Linked DNA regions of Anolis sagrei. The protein of the gene in region 2 purifies or fractionates together with the protein of the main gene of each other region. This does not show direct contact. Links are inferred from orthologs where the notes say so. Each region holds a gene or a part of one and is shown on either strand. Other genes may lie near its edges.

Region 1 (9,590 bases), about 170 Mb from region 2:
AATATGAAATGAAGAATGGATTGCACTCTAAACTGGTGGTATATGCATAAGGCAAAGTTTCCTGAATTTCAGTGATTCTACTTTCCCTTCCTCTAACTGTTTTGGAAGATCTTATATCCCTCAATATGGGAGATCAGGGCAAGCAAAAAAAAAAAAAAGAAGTGGGAAAACCCATTACTCTGAGAGTCCAGGGTGTTATTTTATAGGACTACAGCTCCCTAAATCTCTTGGACTTTGAGAAACCAAGTAAGCCATTCTGGAAGAATTTTTTTCAGTTTTTACATCTGATGATCTGGGCTTTATATAACAAAAGCTTATGCTACAAATTTCCTTTTCCCAGTTAGTTTCAGAAGTGCTACCAGATTTCTTTATGAATTTCTATAATAAAACTAACATAACTATCTCGTTGTGCCACTAAAAAGATTTAAGACTTCCAACAAATGAAAAGGAGAAAAGACTTAGTTTAAGACAGGAGGCTAGAAACCATTTTCTAAAAAATTTATCACATTCAGAAAACGTTGCAAATTATGTCAAAAATGAAACTAACTTCTAAAGTTATGAAAGCAAAAGCCCACAAGTGGAAATAATAAGGAGTGGGGTAAAAATCGAACTGCTGAAATGAAGTGAAACTCACCTTCTTAAAGTAGTCTGCCAAGTCATCTGGGGACCACCGGACCACCTCAGAGCGATAGGGAGTGTATCGAGAATCCATTTAGGTTCCAGTTACAGACGTATTCATGCCAGTCAAACCAACCCAGTCACAGGACTCGCCTCAGTAGCAACCAAAAGTAGTAGATACACTTAATGCCTACAGTTTGGCTTTCTTCAGAACTGTGAATAAACTGAAGGCAGCAACTTCTTCCGGTGTGAACCAAACCGTTTGGCTTCTTTCTCAGAAAACCTGTCGCTAGTTAGTCAGCTTTACCACTTCCTTCTTGTGGATCTAAATATGTAAACAAGGAAACAGAGCAGCTCAATCCCACAGTTGCAAAAAAAGATGGTTGATAATGGAGAGGAGGAAATGATATAGTTAGGTAAGGCTATTTTCTGCACAAGATTTGAAAGAAAGCTGGTGGTCAACACTTTCAGAAGCCAGTACACTAGAGCAAAATGGTGAAGTCCCTTAGCTGGTAGAAGGGGGACAGCACCAGCCTGCCAGGACTTTGGGTTTCTGTTTTTAAAAAATCACTAGAAAGATAAAAGCAACCAATATGAACCACCAGTAAGGGAGAAAAAAGTAGAAAATATATAGAAATTGAACAGTTCGTTCAAATATATGATCACTTGTTTTCCAATGTGCATTGTATATAGAACTTTTACATGGAAATAGGGTACAGACCACACACGCACACACAGAAATGCTGAGAAAAATTTATTTGAAACAGACTTTTAAACTGGGTCTGAACTTACATCACGAATTCAGGTATGCCAGATGTATTACAAATAATTGTGCCTTATCATATATTCTTAAAGCATAACTGGCTTACATAAACTTATGCATATCCATAGAAAAGTGTCATCTATATGAACACCAGGGAAATTTAATTCCAGGGGAATGGATACAGTAGGGATAAGAAACTGTTCTGAGTGTGTTCCTGGGATTGACCCACACATGACATGACATCACTTCTTGTTTGACATTGGGCTATTGGTGGAGCAGGGGGGTAAAATAAGCAAACTGTGATGTTTAGAAAGTATCACTAAAGAAAATTGGCCAGGGACAGGATTTGACTAACAACAAATGTACTAGAAAGAAGTAGGATTATTTGGAGAATGGTTAAATATCTGCCAGTCTCACTCTTGCTTCTCTCTGTGTGCACTGTGTGAATTCAGCCGTTGCACTGTTCTCTGGTAATGTGGCTCACAAGTGAAAACAATGCAGCCTTTTTCAGATAATAGAAAGATTTTGTAAAAATAGAAAAAGCTTAAAAGCATGCTTCCCAAGTGTTGGGAACCCTAATAATAATCCATTTTTAAGCAATCAAGTCTCCTTAATGAAAATTAGGTGGGATTATTTTGATAGACTATCGGTGTGCTTAGTTTTTGCCTTCACTTACAAGGAAAGAGACTGGAGTATATCCTTTGAAGCAATCTGATCTAATTGGGTTGACACATCTTTCAAAGGTTGACTCAAGCAACCAAAAGAATTATGGCTTACATCTTTTCAAATACAAACATTGAGCTGGAAGGCGTTGCAGAGGAGATAATCTCCAATTCCCCAGGCAGTGCAGGAACTGTAACTAGACCATTTCCAGCATCACTTGTCCAGCCTCTTTTTGAAGATGTAAAGTGAAACTGATTCCATTACCTTTCTAGGAAATTGATTCCATTGCCAAATTTTGTTCCAATGTTTAATCAAAATAGATAGTCCTGTAGCATTGGGACCTTTTCACATGGCCCTTTCGGACCTTGTCATTGCACCAGCAATTGCCAGTTAAAGGGAAGGTGTGCAGGGTGGCATGTGGCACTCTGTGCACCCTCCCCCCTCCCCTCATCACATCCCCTCATCAGATGATAGAAAAGGTAGCAACACACATTGCTCCGCTGCTCTTTCTGCTATCACATGGCAAAAAGGGGAGGAAAGTGCAGGTAGTTCAGTTGGAGCTATGCAAACTACACTTTCCTCCCCAGAGTGGAGAAAAAAAGCACCTTTAGGTGTTTCTCCGTGCATCATGTTATGGTGCATGGCAGGCCCCATCCTTGCCATGATTAAAAGTGGCAAAACAGGGCAAAATCATCCTATCCTCTGGGACACTAGAGAACAAACTTGATCCCTCCTTTCTGTGGGTGCCCTTTTAATATTAAAATGATGCAATCACTCCATCTTGTCTTTTACTCCATCTGAATGAAAATTGGAAATTAGTCAAAAAACAAAACTATTGGGAGAGAATGTGCTGATCAAATGAAAACAAACTGAATGAAGAAACATCAAATGTTTTTCTATGGCATACTGCAGAAAAGAGGCATTTCCAAATGTGGTAAGCAAATATCTTAAAAGGATGCTGGAATGGGATTATTAGTAAAGCCAGGCATTTTTAATGTATCTTCACCATCAATTACAGTCTGGTTCCTTGTAAGATATGATTAATTGAGATTGCTTTGATTATTTTGCTATGTTTTGTTTGGATTGTGTTATTTATGCCTTTTCTGTTAACTGTAATTACAAAAATGACTTAAGGTCTATAAACTGTATGACTATAATTTGCTTTTGCTTTTTTTTTTTTAAAAGCAAAATACAATTGTTTTACTTACATGGTTTCTTTTTATTCCAAATAAACATAGAACTCATGTAATTCTGTAGGGAAAGAAATTAAAGCACACTCTCTATATTACCACAAGAGTGCAGCCAAACTCAATTTTTCACATATACATTTGGGATTTGTTCACAACCTTTTCTAGGTGGAGGTTAGGATGAAAATGTGCAAAAGCAATGCAATGTTAATATAAAACAAAAATACTACTGCTTCCAAAAGCTAGGACAAAACAAATTCAAGGAAGTACTTCAAAGAATTGAGAACTGCAAGGAGAAGACTGTTCTCCATTTCCACCCTTGTACAGGCTTTTTCAAATGTTATAATGCTCCTGGTCATATCAGCTGTGGAATTCTACAAACTATAATGTTTTAAATTTTAATTTTACAAAACTCTATTCATACACCTTCTAAAATATGAATTAATGATTGGGAAGCAGCAATAGTGGGGGTTCACATCTGTGGAATATCTGCCAGAAATAAGGCCAGTGGCACCATAGATAGTGCTTGTTTGCATTGCACAGAAGGAGGCACCATAAATCCCTTTCCAACACCTTTTACCATGACAGCCCTATGATAAAACAATGAAGAAGGAAACAAGAGATAGTGCTAGAAAATTATACTCACAGCTTGGAAGGCACTCAACTAACTTCTGGAATTATCAACTTTAAAGAGCGCTGTGGTTAATGATGCAACTGGACTCAAGTCAGAAAGATTTTCTGTTAACTGATGTGCTAAGAAGTGAAAGGAAATTCCAAAACTGCACAACACATATTATAGGAGTATGAAATGTGGGAAACGTGAATCAGCAGCAGCTAGACATAGTAAAACAAGAAATGAAAGATATAAACATTGCGATACTTGGGATGAGTGAGCAAAAGTGGGCAGGAATTGGACATTTTACATCAGATAATTGCATAGCTTTACTCAGAAAATGGAAATATAAGACAAAATTGTTATTATTAATTTATTTACTTCATTTCTATCTTGCTTTTTTCATCCCTCGGGGGACCCAGAGCACTATACAGCAGTCATCTAGGCAAAAATTCAATGCCTCATTATACAAACTATATAAAACATAACATAAAATCACTAGCCACAATAGACATATAAATACAATGTAAAACATAATAACCCCACACACAATTAACTGCTTCATTTCTAACTGTGGTGTGATAAGATGTTAAACTGCATTTCTGTCACTCGTCAAACTTGCACAGTGGTGTTTCTCAAGTCTCTTGGTCAAGTAGCAGCATTACAGTCTATCATTATAATAGCAACATCACGAGACACCCTACTAGGCCCTCAACTTCCCCTGTCATGATCTTAAGATCTTCTTTGGCTCTCTTGGATAGTGCTGTGTGACTGGGCCCCCAGCAACATCATCCTTTTATCCCCCAGCAGGTGTTTCTGCTGGGCCTTGCTTCAGCCAGGCAGTCAGGGCCTGAGTCTGTAAGGAGCCAGTCACCAGGAACTCAGGTCAAAGGCAGCCTGCAGTAAACAGACACTGCCTCTTCCTCCAAGCTCCCTGCTGCTGATGTTCTTTGGCTCTCTTGGATGGTGCTGTGTCATGGGGTGAAATGCATAGTGAGAAGAGATGCAGCAAAAGTTGTCAAAGAATATAATGCAAAGTATGACCAAATAGTATCAATACAATTTCAGGAAAACCTGAATTGATATGATTTAAATATAATCCAAGTTTGTGTTCCATCTTCAGATGCTGAAAAAGAAATTTAAAAGAATGTGTACTAGAATCCAGAAAGAAATTGACTACACACCTAAACAGGATTTGTTGTTAAGCATAGATGCTTGGGATGAAAAAGTAGGCTTCAGAGCAGAATAAAAAAAATGTTAGTGTTCAATTTGGCATCACATATACTACAACTGAAAGACAAGGCAGCAAAAGATTGTGGGGAAAACTGGCAAATACAAGATGACTAAACGGAGACTATTGCACTTTGGACACAATGTGTGAAGACATGTCTCACTAGAAAAGACAGAGCTGGTTGATGAGAGAGAAGGCAATAGCAAAAGATAAAGACTGCATTCCAGGTGAAGAGGCTCAGCCAAGGAAGTCATAGCCCTCAGTCTGAAAGCTCTGAGTAGGGCTGCTGGTGATAGGGTGACTTGAGGGTTTCTCATTTATAGGGTCACCATAACTTGAACTTGAGTCAATGTCAGTTAACAACAAGGTACTGGCATAGTGTAACTCTGAAATCAATATGCCTGACTTACTTTGGGATAACCTTCTGAAGACATGAATTGTCATCTGTAGCTTAGGCCTCAGGTCACTTCCATAGAAAGCAATGCAACACTTTGTTTTTTTAGCTTGTGAAATTGTGCAACACTGTTATTAAGCATAGGATTTAGACATGTTTACTTGAAGATATACCTAGATGAAACTAATTAGACTTGTTTCCCAGAAGACAGGGTTAGAAGTGGGTTGAGGTTTGTAACTTAGATAAACAATTGTACGAAGCCATTTTAAATAGCTAGGATTTAATTCCAAGTTATGCATTTCAAAGTAGAATTTGTAAAAAAAATAGACTACAACATTTACAATTTCCAAGCAGACATGCTGAAAGATGTATTACCTAAAAAACAAACAAACAGACAAAACAAGAAATGTGCAGACCATGTTAGGTTTTATGAGAGACTAGAAAGATCAGCTTTGTCACTTTGAAAGTACAAACTGTCAGATATCTCCTTGAGATACAGGGGAAGGAGGAATAGGAATAGGAATAATAATAATTAATAATAATAATAATAAGGTTGCAAAAAGAAGACTTATCTCTATTTCTATAGCAGCAATGTTTTATAACTACATTTGTTCTAGTAAATGGCTAAGAAATGTAACCAAATGAATATGTTGTTTTCTAGTTTATGCCCCTGGTTTTTATTTTACTTGAAACATACAACAAATGAACAATAAGATAGAACTAAACTAATTTCAGTATTATAAAAGTTTCAAATTATACTCAATAAAATACATTTAAAAGTCAAAAATTATTTAAATACAGTTGCATTTAAATATAGCACTATTTAGCTCAAACTTTAAAAAAAATTGTATTAAAAACCTGTCAAAATATTTAAAAAAGTTTTCCACCTGTTAATGGAAAAACAACAAGAGAGGAGTCTAGGGACAGTCAGTGAAAAGGCCCTTTGTGCTTGTGATTCAAGGAAGTGTCAGACTTGATGATATCAGGGCTTATGCAGGCTCATATAGGGAGGCACCTCACGCCAGGCATTTGAGGAAGTAGGCTTTGCCTACAAGCTTCATTCTTTCAGTTTCATCTATGCTTACAATCGTGCCATCACCACTCAAGCAGGGAGCTTTGAAATGGCTGAACAGAAGCCCTCTTAATCCTTAGGTGCTCTTGTGGTCTATTACAGGGAAAACCAGCTGATGCCTAATCCATCTAAAATGCAGATGTGTGCTTTTCATTATAAGAAGAGACAAGCATCTTAAGCTCCGAGGATTACTTGGGAAGGAATCCCACTGGAGCATTGCAGCACACCAAAATACCTGGGCTACAAAGTGGAGTCCACGACATGCGAGTGCGGAGAAGAGGAAACCACAGACCACTTATAGCAATGCAGTCTGAGTCCTGCCACATGCACAATGGAGGACCATCTTACAGCGACATCAGAGGTACAAGTATTATCAGTACACTTCTGACACAATCAATAAATGAAAATTCTTTTAGTTATACTCTACAAGTAGTCTTTGTAGATTGATATTCCAGACTAACATTGTTGAATGTGGAGATACAGTCTGATAAATAGCCTAGACCTGAGCCCCATAGGACTTTATAGGTCATAACCAGCTTTTTGAATTGTGCCCAGAAACAAACTGGCAGCCAGTGGAGTTGTTGTAATGGGAAAAGTATGGTACCCGTAGCCTGCTCCAGTTAACATGCTGCAGCTCTTTGAATTAGCAAAAGTTTCCAAGCACTCTTCAAGGGCTGCCCACATACATGTTACAGAGTCCAAATGGAGTGTAACTAAGGAATGTAGCACTATAGTCAGATTAGGTAGCTCAAGAAATTAGCTTAGTGGGTGTACAAATGTGAAAGCACTTCTGGCCACCACAGAAATGGGTCTCCAGATTCAAAACTGAATCCAAAAGCGTCCCCCAAATTGCAAACTTGTGTCTCTCTTCAGTGGGAGTGTAACTCCATTTAACACAGATTGAATTCCTATTCCTTGATCTGCCTTTGATTGTCTTGTCAAGATTTCTCCAAGTCAATTACTGGATTAGACTCAAGGTCACCTGTTTGAATTAAGGTGGAAAGGAGTAATAGAAGAGGGTGCCATCTGCATAGTGATGACACTACACTCCAAAACCAGAAGACTTCTCCCAGCAGTTTCATGAATATTCTTAGATAGCCTGAGGGAGAAAACAGAACCTTGAGAAAACCTGCAAGCCAAGAGGCAGGTGTCTGTGAACAGGATTCAGTCAACACCACCAGGAAGGATTGGAGCTACTATAAAAAGTAACTTCAAATTCCATTCCAGTGAGGTGGCCCAGAATTATACTATGACCAATGTTATTGAAAACCACTGAGACATCCAGCAGAACTATTTGAGATGCACACCCTCATCCAGTTCCTAGCCTAGACCACCCATCAAATTGCAGAAAAAGAAATTCCACTTAAACATTTGAAAAAAAATGTCCTGATTGTTAGAGTTGTATGACAGTACAATACACTGCCTTAGAGTGTGGTGGGGTCTCCTTCTCTTGAGGTTTTTAAACAGAGGATGGATGGCCATCAGTTGGGAAAATTTTGATCATGTCTTCTGTAAGATGGGCAATTGAACTGAATGGCCCTTGGGATCATCTCCTGTATGAATCTAGGTAAGAAATCCTTGAGTCTGTCAGGCAGAAGGACAAGCCCTCATCCATATGTACCTCAAGTGACTCATCCAAAGAGGTGACTCCTTTTTTGTGTTAATTCCTTTGGCAGCAGCCCACCCCCTCAAGAGACCTGCTTTTATAACCAGACTCACAATAAGTCAGTTCTGTAAAGAGCAAAGTACCAAAATACAACAAAGGCCCAAAATAGCAGCAACAAACAGTCACTTAGAGACTCCAGATTGCCTCTGTGGTCCTTTCTCTCTTGTTTGTACTGGAGAATAGAGGCTTCTAGCCAAAGCCAAAGGCAGTCATCAATCCAGCATGGGGACAGAAGTCTACTTGTTTCTTGATATTCTACATTTGCACACGCATAGCCTGTGCCTTCTTAAGAGACACATGATTTGCAAAAAATATAGAAAAAAAGACATGTTATACAGTGGAACCGCTACTTAAGAGCATTTTGAGTTAAGAGCAGTTGTTTGTCCTAGGTTTCACTTTGACATAAGAATAGCATTTTGAGTTAAGGTCTAGCAGCAGAGGGAGCACAAGTAGAATCATATGATCATAGAATCAGAGTTGGAAGGGACCTCATGGGCCATCCAATCCAACCCCCTGCCAAGAAGCAGGAAAATTGTATTCAAAGCACCCCCGACAGATGGCCATCAAATCTCTATTTAAAAGCCTCCAAAGAAGGAGCCTCCACCAAACTCCAGGGCAGAGAGTTCCACTGCTAAATAGCTCTCACAGTTAGGAAGTTCTTCCTAATGTTCAGATGGAATCTCCTTCCTTGTAGTTTGAAGCCATTGCTCCGCATCCTAGTCTCCAGGGCAGCAGAAAACAAGCTTGCTTCCTTCTCCCTATGACTTCCTCTCACATATTTATACATGGCTATCATGTCTCCTCTCAGCCTTCTCTTTTTCAGGCTAAACATGCCCAGCTCTTTAAGCCACTCTTCACAGGGTTTGTTCTCCAGACCCTTGATCATTTTAGTCGCCCTCCCCTGAACACATTCCAGCTTGTCAATATCTCCTTTCAATTGTGGTGCCAAGAATTGGACACAGTATTCCAGATGTGGTCTAATCAAGCCAGAATAGAGGAGTAAGAGTACAGTGCGAGAGTACAGGGCTTTAGGGCTTCAAGGGAGCATCCTCTATTCTAATGTGTCTCCATGCCTCATGCTCTTGTCCACTTTGGGAGATTGCTATCTGCTTTAAGGAACTTTGGGTTAGTTGATTTTGTGTGGTTTTTATTTCTGGTATGTTTGGCTTCATGAATAGAGAGAAGGAAAGAGAGTGAGAGATTTAGGGAGGCTGGAATGAGTACAATATGAAGAAAATAATGCTTCTGCCTCTTCACTTTGTGCTTCCTTGCCACAACTTTGTGCTTCTGCCATGTTCAAGTTGATCATTCTTTTTTATCGTTTTGCGTGTGAATATGCATTTTTACATTAGGTAAAGGTAAAGGTTTTCCCCTGACATTAAG
Region 2 (9,179 bases):
AATCTGAATTTGGATCTCTGCACCATGCACCTTGCTTTCAAAGAGAAATAAAAGAGATACCAATTGATCACTGAATCTCAAGTTGTTATTAAAAATAAGAGTTTCAAATAAACTTTAGTGGATGACATGTTGGATATGATACATTTGTGTTATGTATTTGTGAAATGTTGACCCTGCTCTTTAGGGTCTGTGCCAGACTCCCTGCTGTGCCCATAGCATAAGGCAATCACTCATGGCCGAGTATGATTGTCTTGCAAGCATAGAGTCTTAGTGGTGAGCCCATAAGTGAAAGTAGAGACCTATTCTGGATCCACATTGTCTTTCACAATGAGGACATCGATTTCCAGATGGAAGGAGATCCTGACAAGGTTTTGGCTTGATGCATTTTTGTCTCATCATGTTTCTCCTTTTTGCCCTCTATTCTTACCTCTTTAAAATCCATAGCACTGTCAGTAACAGCTGACATCCAGTTAGAATGCTCTAGGGCCAGAACTTTCCAGTTCTGTGTGTTTTTTCCAGATTTTTTAAGCTTAGCTTCCAGCCCATCTTTAAATCTCTTTTGCTTTCCACCAACATTCCAGTTTCCGTTTTAGAGCTAAGAGTAAATTAACTGCTTTGGGAGAGAATTATCAGGCATTTCAGCAATGTGACCAGTCCAGTGAAGTTGATGGTAGAGAAACATCGTTTCAATGCTGGTGGTCTTTGCTTCTTCCGGAACACTGATGTTTGTGTGCCTGTCTTCCCAAGGGATTTGCAGGATTTTTCAGAGGCAACACTGATGGCAACACTGTACTTTGTTATATTTATATGTTTGCACTATTGAGTGCTTTTGTGAGCTGCCCCAAGTCTTTTCGGGGAGATGCTGGTGGGATATAAATAAATTATTATTATTATTATTATTATTATTATTATTATTATTAATGATAGACATCTTCCGTTTCATCCCCATGTTCCTCAATATTTTCAGTGTGTTCCATAGATAGATGATCCTTGAATGCTGTTTGGAAAAAGGCATATTTAGAGGGCACCTTATCTTTTTTCTTTGGAGTCTATATATGAGAGTGATCTTGATGGCTATTGGGTATCGAATTAATGGTCGGTATAGCAGTAATCAAAGCTTTTCATGGCTCTTATGAGAAGTTCATCACAGCAATCTCTGGAACATATAATTATATAATCTACGAGATGTCAATGCTTTGACCGGGGATGCTTCCATGACATCTTAAGCTGATTTTTCTGGCAGAAGAACGTATTAGTGATGACAAGGTTTTGTTCCACACATTTAGTGAGAAGTAGGATGAGAAGTGAGCTGTTTCCCACCCCATCTTTCCCTATAGTCTCTGGCCACAGGTCGAAATCTCTCCTACTCTTGCATTAAAATAATCCAGGATGATGATTTTATCCTCCATGCATATCTCAGATAGGATGTATCCAGCTGACAGTAGAATTTTTCTTTGATGTCTTCATTAGCATCTAGTGTTGGTGCATAGGCACTTATGATAATTGCCAGCTGATTTTTGGCAAGGTTACTTAGGAGGGATGAGAACCATTTCTTCCTCTGAAGAGGAGGCTGGTTTGTCTGGGCCAAGGAAGTAGGGACAGTATAATATAGGAAATTGCTATAGAGTTGCCTTAAAAATAGTTCATTGTTAGAAGAGGAAATGACAGCCTGTAAGCGGGGAAAGAACCTCTCGACTTCTCTGAAAGAATCTAAAAGAGGACCTTTTAGAAAGAAGCATTCAGGGTAATAAAGAGCATTCTAAATTCTTTAGGGATATACACCATTATATTTCCCCCATAATTAAGTTCAGGTAGGCATTCTGCCAATCTAGGAGATGATTTCTGCCCACTTCCTGGTGCCAGTCAGGCTGAAAACCACAAAGCCTTCACACCAATGAAGTCTCACATAGAAGTTCAACTAAAAATTGTAATAAGGACAACACTGTGAATGACAGCTAAGCCGAATAGTGCTGATAATAACCTGTGGGAGAAGACAAGCCAGCAACAGAGAGAAATAGCCCCACCTCTATCAGAATTACTGCATCTTTGACAGGAAACATTCCATTTTATTTTACTTTATTTTATTTTCTTATAGACCTAGAGCTGTCTTAGGGACTACTTAGGGAGAATTCTTCAGGGTTCACACACAAACCCAAACACACCAGTGACATCTTTATTTGTCCTGTTGCACACTCACCATTTCCCACAGCTATAAGAAGCTGATTTCTTCTTTGGAGGACTGAGTCCTGGATGGCAGTGTCTGGTGGAGATGGGTTGGCGGGGGGTGGGGGGGTGGGATTAAACTCTATTTCCATATTTACTCTACTCTACTTCCTCCGTGCAATTCAGGATGGTATAAATGGCCCTTTATTGACCCCTTTAGTTTATTAGTATCCTTGAGATGTAGAAATTGAAAGATATGATTGACTCAACAACACCTGGTAAAATTTATGGTGATCATAGATTTTAAGCTAAAATTCTAAACCTGCTTTTACATTATGCACATTTATACTACATTGGGTTTATGCTAAATTGTCAGAACAGGTGTCAGAACAGGTGCCCACATGACCAAGAAGAATGAGGGAGATCACACTGGACATGATCCCTCCATTTTCCCTATGCTGGAGTATCCCCCATCTTTGCCCAAAGTAGGCCAAAGGACCATATCAGATGGGGGGGGGGGTAGTATTCTAGGATGCTTTTACCCCATCTAATGGATGTAGCCCCATGTCAACCATCACATAATGTCATGTGACTTCCAGTAAAGACCATGCCGCCAAGGTGAAAGTGTCGCTGGATGCTTTCCCTACAACACAGGAGGCTTCCTGTGTTGTGCTGGCTCCAATAGAGCCAGCACGCTTCTGCCCTGTTTGGGTTATGCTTCATCACGTGATGCAGAAAGTGTGGCCCCTCACCTCCTGGCAAAATGGCACTGGTGGGGGGAAGATTTCCCATGTGATAAGGTAGATAGTTTAAAGCAAAAAATAAAATGTCACAATCTTCCTTGGAAGCCACTCTGCATCATGGGGACAGCCAGCATTCCATTCAATGTGAGTCCAAAGTTTTTGCAATTGAAGATAAGCCAAAGACTTGAAAAATATCCTAAGTGCCCCTGATGGCTTTTTGGACTGCAACACCTAGCATTCCTCACTATTAGCTATGCTGTCTAGGCCGCCTGAGAGTTGCAGTCCAATAACATCTAGAGGGCTACATGATCCCATTCTTTACAATAGATCTGATGCAGAAGTGTCAAACATGTGGCCCTCCAGGTGTTTTGGACTTCAGCTCCCAGTATTCCTGACCATTGGATAAACTGGCTAGGGCCTCAGGGAGTTGGAGGTCCAAACATCTGAAGGGGCACAAGTTTGGCACCACTGAATTCTTACAGTGGGGCAGTTGAAATCAATGGGAGAACATACCTCAAATCAGGTTGGTTTCACTGGGTATACTCCTGACTAAATCTAGATCGAGCCCATGAATTGAAGGACTTATGTTCTTTGCTACATAGCCAGATCTCCTGGTTCTTAGTTAGAGTTTTATGCTTTCCAAACTTAGATTTTGATAATGTAGGGCATTTGTTTAAATCAGGCTATCAGAGACAAACCATTGTTCAAAATCTTGTGTATCACTCAGTTACTAATGAGATCTTCCTACAGCTACTTGCAGACTATGAACAAGTTATTTTAAAACACTCCCTCAGTTCCCCATCGTGCTATTTTCTTTTGATGTGAAAGAAAATAGCATGTGTCCCACTCTCAATTAAAGGTGGCTTATAAAACAAGCAAACAAGTTTTTAAATCCTTACACTGGAGAAAAATATAACCAGATATAAACATCTGTACTGAAGACACCCCTCTAAAAGTTTAGATGAGCTGATATTTGTGTGCATGTGAGTGTATGTATTTTTCCCGGCCAATCTTTTCTGTTGATGTAGTTCATAAAGGGAAACCATATATCCATGAAATTCCTAGCAATTCTGACTACAATTCTTGGAGTCCTCGTGGACAACAAGTTAAACATGAGCCAACAATGTGATGTGGCGGCAAAAAAAGCCAATGGGATTTTGGCCTGCATCAATAGGAGCATAGTGTCTAGATCTAAGGAAGTAATGCTACCCCTCTATTCTGCTTTGGTTAGACCACATCTGGAATATTGTGTCCAATTCTGGGCACCACAATTCAAGAGAGATATTGACAAGCTGGAATGTGTCCAGAGGAGGGCGACTAAAATGATCAAGGGTCTGGAGAACAAGCCCTATGAGGAGCGGCTTAGGGAACTGGGCATGTTTAGCCTGAAGAAGAGAAGGCTGAGAGGAGATATGATAGCCATGTATAAATATGTGAGAGGAAGCCATAGGGAGGAGGGAGCAAGCTTGTTTTCTGCTTCCCTGGAGACTAGGACGCGGAACAATGGCTTCAAACTACAAGAGAGGAGATTCCATCTGAACATTAGGAAGAACTTCCTGACTGTGAGAGCCGTTCAGCAGTGGAACTCTCTGCCCCGGAGTGTGGTGGAGGCTCCTTCTTTGGAAGCTTTTAAGCAGAGGCTCAATGGCCATTTGTCAGGGGTGATTTGAATGCAATATTCCTGCTTCTTGGCAGGGGGTTGGACTGGATGGCCCTTGAGGTCTCTTCCAACTCTTTGATTCTATGATTCTATGATTCTATGATGTCCCTCAAAATGGTATTGTGTAGATTGCTTCTCTCTTACAAGATAGCTGCTGTTGGTCTACGGTGGTTTTCCAATAAACTATGTAGTAAGGAGGAAATGGTTGACTGTCCACATTGGATAATTTGAGAAGTCTTGGACTACACAAAGGCTTGTAAGCAGAAGAGGGGTTTGGACTTCAACAAAATATCTACAATGTCGAAATTGTCTTTTCTGCTGATGCTACTTTAGTAGAAGGATGTACGTCTGGCAGTGTCACTTCGGACAGAGGGATTTGTTTTCCTTGTAAAGTTTTAGTTGGTGGGATGAGCATTCTTAATAAGTATTTGCTATTTACTAGTAAGTTGACTTTGATTTATGGTGGTTCTACGAATGAATGAACTCCAAGATCCCCACTCTTCAGCAGCCTTGAGTAAGGGTTGCAAACTTAGTGGTGTGGCATGTTTGCTTAAACCAATTCACTTATAGTGAGATGTCCCTCTTTTTCCACTATCTTTCTCTTTAACAGGCATTATCACGTTTTCTGTCAAGGTTTTAGGATGGACCCTTTCCAACTCACCCTGGAGAAATGCCAGAGACTGAACCTCGGAGTTTCTCAATGCAAAGCAATTTTTGTGCCACTGAATAAGATACATTTATGGTATTATTATTCTGCATAGCTTTAATTTTCATTATTAACCACTATGTTAGTAATCACACTACACTAAAGGTAAATGTAAAGGTTTTCCCCTGACATTAAGGCCAGTTGTATCCGACTCTGAGGGGTGGTGCTCATCTCCATTTCTAAGCCGTTGTCCGTAGACACCTCCAAGGTCATGTGGCTGGCATGACTACATGGAGCACCGTTACCTTCCTGCCAAAGCGGTACCTATTGATCTACTCACATATGCATGTTTTCGAACTGCTAGGTTGGCAGAAGCTGGGGCTGACAGCAGAAGCTCATGCTGCTCCCCGGATTCAAACCTGCGACCTTATGGTCAATAAGTTTAGCAGCTCAATGGTTTAACCCATTGTGCCACCAGGGCTCCCCACACTACACTACTATTCATTAAACTTTGATAACTCCTGTATTTCCATTGTATGGAATCGTAGAATTTGTAATTTTGTGAATTCTCTGACAATGAGGTCCCAAATCATGGCAGAGGTTTGGAATGGATGGCCCTTGTCTCTTTCAACTATGATTCCTAGTTGTAATCCAGCAAAGACGTCCATTGAACTCATCAAACAGCAAATCCCAGATTCTATAACAGAGATCTATGGCAGAGAAAGTGGTATCAACTGGCTCTAAATGTGTAGTAGAGCTGCACCCTATGATTTTACTTTTGTTTCTGTGTCTTTGGCTCCTAGCACTATCAGTCAAAAGACATTGTGCAGCTATTCTATATTCTCCATGGGATTTCTGCTGAGAGAAAAAGAGGAGGGTGAGAGGAAAAGGAGGAGGAAAAGACAGGAGGATTACAAGTGAAAATGTCCAGCCCCTTAATCCTAAATGTAGGTAAATGGGTAGGCAATTGCTCAATAGAAGCCTTGTATCAATGCACTCTTTGCTGGAAAAATAGGGTGCAGGTGCTGAAATAAAATATAAATAAAGTGAAAATTACATGGGTTTTCAACATTCAAGACTGAACTGAGAATTCATAGGCAGGAAGTGTATTAATGTAATACTCTTCATTTCTGTGAATGTTCTCCTCACTCATGTGCATGGATTTCCCAATATTTCTGCCTTCTGGCCTCACAGTTCTACAGAGTATTTTGCAAGTTGCTGCTACAAGCTCTGTTAAATGACGGTTCACAATATGCAAACAATGAATGGTACTGTTAGAATTTTCCTACAAAGGCTGGATAAAAACCACTTGACACTTTGAAAATAGGAAGTTCCAGGCAAAAGGCAAAGAAAGCCTTCGTCTTGTAACACTGCACTCTTCAACAGGGTTGGGAGTGCACTAGAGAATTTCTACAGCCATGGTAAGTCCAGAAATGTTTTCATTGTTTTCACTGTTTCATGGAAACTGATAAAAAAGAAGAAACATTAAGAAGGCTGCTCTGCAAACTGCTTGAGTGACTTATGTCCACATTTCAGTTTCATATCTTTGCAAAGCCAACTGTCTAAGGCACTCAGAAACTGGATAAAATCTTTTTAAGCTTGGCAGGTGGCTTCCAGTTTGCAGCTCAGCGAGTCAAATGCGGCAGATGCCTGGTCTATGGAGAGATTGGTAATACTGGTATTTTTGAGCTTTCAAACAGATTGGACAGATGTGTTTATCAAGACTCTGGTGGGCTGTCACAGATAGCTAGGGAGCTGAATATAGCTTGATAGGTTACAAGCAGTGCTGGAGAGACTAAATTCAGTACTTATTGTAGTGTTGGGCTAGAAATTGGGAGATCCAAGTATCATTGAGCCAGTTAGGTTCTCCTGGATCAATAACTGTTTCTCAGTCTAACTAAATTTGCAGAATTGTTGCTTATAATAACATCAATATGCATAATTATGCAGATAGAACTATCGAGATCTCTAATGAAACAATGGAGAATAAACGTAATAAAATGCCCTTTAAAGCCAAGTGTTTTACCTGAGAAAGAGGATGGCAGCGGCAAACCTCATTGGAATAAATCTTGACAAGAAAACCCTATGATAGAGTCACCAAAAGTTGACAAGACATACAGCAACAACAAACATCAACATCAACACTGCTGGACTACTTGGCAGATTCAAATAACCATCAAGATTTAGAGTTAGAAGAGAACTTGGACATCATTTAGCCCAATACAAGATGAGTTTTACTTATCTAGTATTCCAAAATACTCCAAATTCCAAAATTGTCCACATGGCTTGCTGGGATAATAACAGCATTGCTTTCTGATGGTTCAATGTACATGTTGCACAATATTTTTAAAAATAATGTATAGAATTACCTTCAGACTATGTGCATAATGTTTATGTGAAACATAAGTGGATTTTATGTTTAAATTTGGGTCTCATCTCATTATGTAAATATACACAAATATAGATATACCAGGAAAAAACTCTGAAATCCAAAACACTTCTGGTTCCAAGCATTTCAGATAAGGGATACTCATACTCAACCCATGTTACTTAATGTGGTGATCTGTGTACTGGTGGCTAGCAGCAAATTTTTCAGGAAAGAAAACAATGGTTGTAACTGATAGGTACAAAAATCCTCAACAAACCCTGACAGGTTAGGGGGGGAAACTGCTTCCATATGAGAAAGCTTTCAAAGTACTAATCCACACTTCTGCTTCATGCAAGGATCATTTAACTACAGTTATCCCTCCATATTTGTGGGTTTGATTATTCATTAGTTTGATCAAAAATGTTCTCTCTAAGAATCTCTAGATTCCCCAATGAGACCCTTTGGTCAACTTTCTCCAGCCATGCTGGAGCACCTAGGAAATCAAAGAGAGAGCACCTCTTTAGTAATTTCTGGATCCTCCAATGTGGCCCTTTCCACACAGTCCTATATCCCAGAATATCAAGGCAGAAAATCCCACAATATCTTCTTTGAACTGGGTTATCTGAGTCCACACTCAAATAATGAGAGATTTCCTGCCTTGATATTCTGGGACATAGGGCTGTGTGGAAGGGCCCCATAATTCTCTTGTCAGCTTCCAGAAGACCTAGAAATTCCTAGAAAGATGTTCTCTCAAGTAAAAAAAAAACCATTTTCTTTATTCATATACCTGTGCCCCTAACCACAGCTGCCTGTAAAATGACCTGTTTCTCTCTCCTCCTCCCACTTCCCCCTTTGTCCTCAATTTACTTCAGCTGCTGCAAACTGAGTTCAAAATGTTAAATCAATTTGCAGTAACAAACTCATAAAATGGGGCTAGATTCAGTGGCAAACATCTAGCCTCAGTCACCCACAGAACCGGCCGGCTCCCATCAAATGACATTGTGCTGGGTCTGTGGGTGCAGAGGAGCAGGACCAGTGTGCTGCCATTGCCCTGGCAACATGGGAGGTTTCCCTGATTGCCCAATCTATGGGGAAAGCCTTGCACTCCACACTTTCCTCCATGTGATTGCCCTCCCAGCAAGGCAGGCAATGTGAGGTATGGGGGTGCCAAATTCTCCATGCCTCACTGCGAAACAGACCATTCCCCCCTTCTGCTGCTGGCCGTCTGATAAGGTGGTTAGTTAATTCAACAGAGCAAAGCAGTGGGACACAGAACCTTGTTCTTACACAAAAACAAAATGTCTGGCATCTTCTACCTCAGTGTTTTTCCTCATTTATCACTCTTATTTATTTATTTATTTGTTTATTTATTTTGGGCACTTCTACCCCATCCTTCTCAATCCCCTAGGGGGGACTCAGGGCAGATTACAACCGGCACAATTCGATGCCAACAATTCAGCAGATAAAATACATAACAACAATAACCACAATAGTTAAAACATTCAGTTAATACAATAACAACTAAAAAGCCAATCTAGTGGCTTCATTCTTGGCCACAGGCATCCCAGTTTCCATCTCTGACATGCTGGAGGGCATGCA

Evidence for each region.
Region 1: the proteins of FYB1 (region 2) and LCP2 purify together in Homo sapiens (co-immunoprecipitation; 6 studies listed by BioGRID and IntAct, with this or other methods). This does not show direct contact. The link is inferred for Anolis sagrei from reciprocal best matches to the Homo sapiens genes FYB1 and LCP2.

What each region holds. Positions count from the first base shown.
Region 1 is NC_090022.1:104,302,154-104,311,743, reverse strand, and holds the start of LCP2 (lymphocyte cytosolic protein 2), read right to left. Parts: upstream 3,976-9,590; 5' UTR 3,878-3,975; intron 944-3,877; 5' UTR 713-943; coding exon 635-712; intron 1-634. UniProt on the Homo sapiens protein: Adapter protein primarily involved in signaling pathways within T-cells, as well as other immune cells such as platelets, mast cells, and natural killer (NK) cells.
Region 2 is NC_090022.1:277,911,376-277,920,554, forward strand, and holds the start of FYB1 (FYN-binding protein 1), read left to right. Parts: upstream 1-5,169; 5' UTR 5,170-6,630; coding exon 6,631-6,633; intron 6,634-9,179. UniProt on the Homo sapiens protein: Acts as an adapter protein of the FYN and LCP2 signaling cascades in T-cells. May play a role in linking T-cell signaling to remodeling of the actin cytoskeleton. Modulates the expression of IL2. Involved in platelet activation.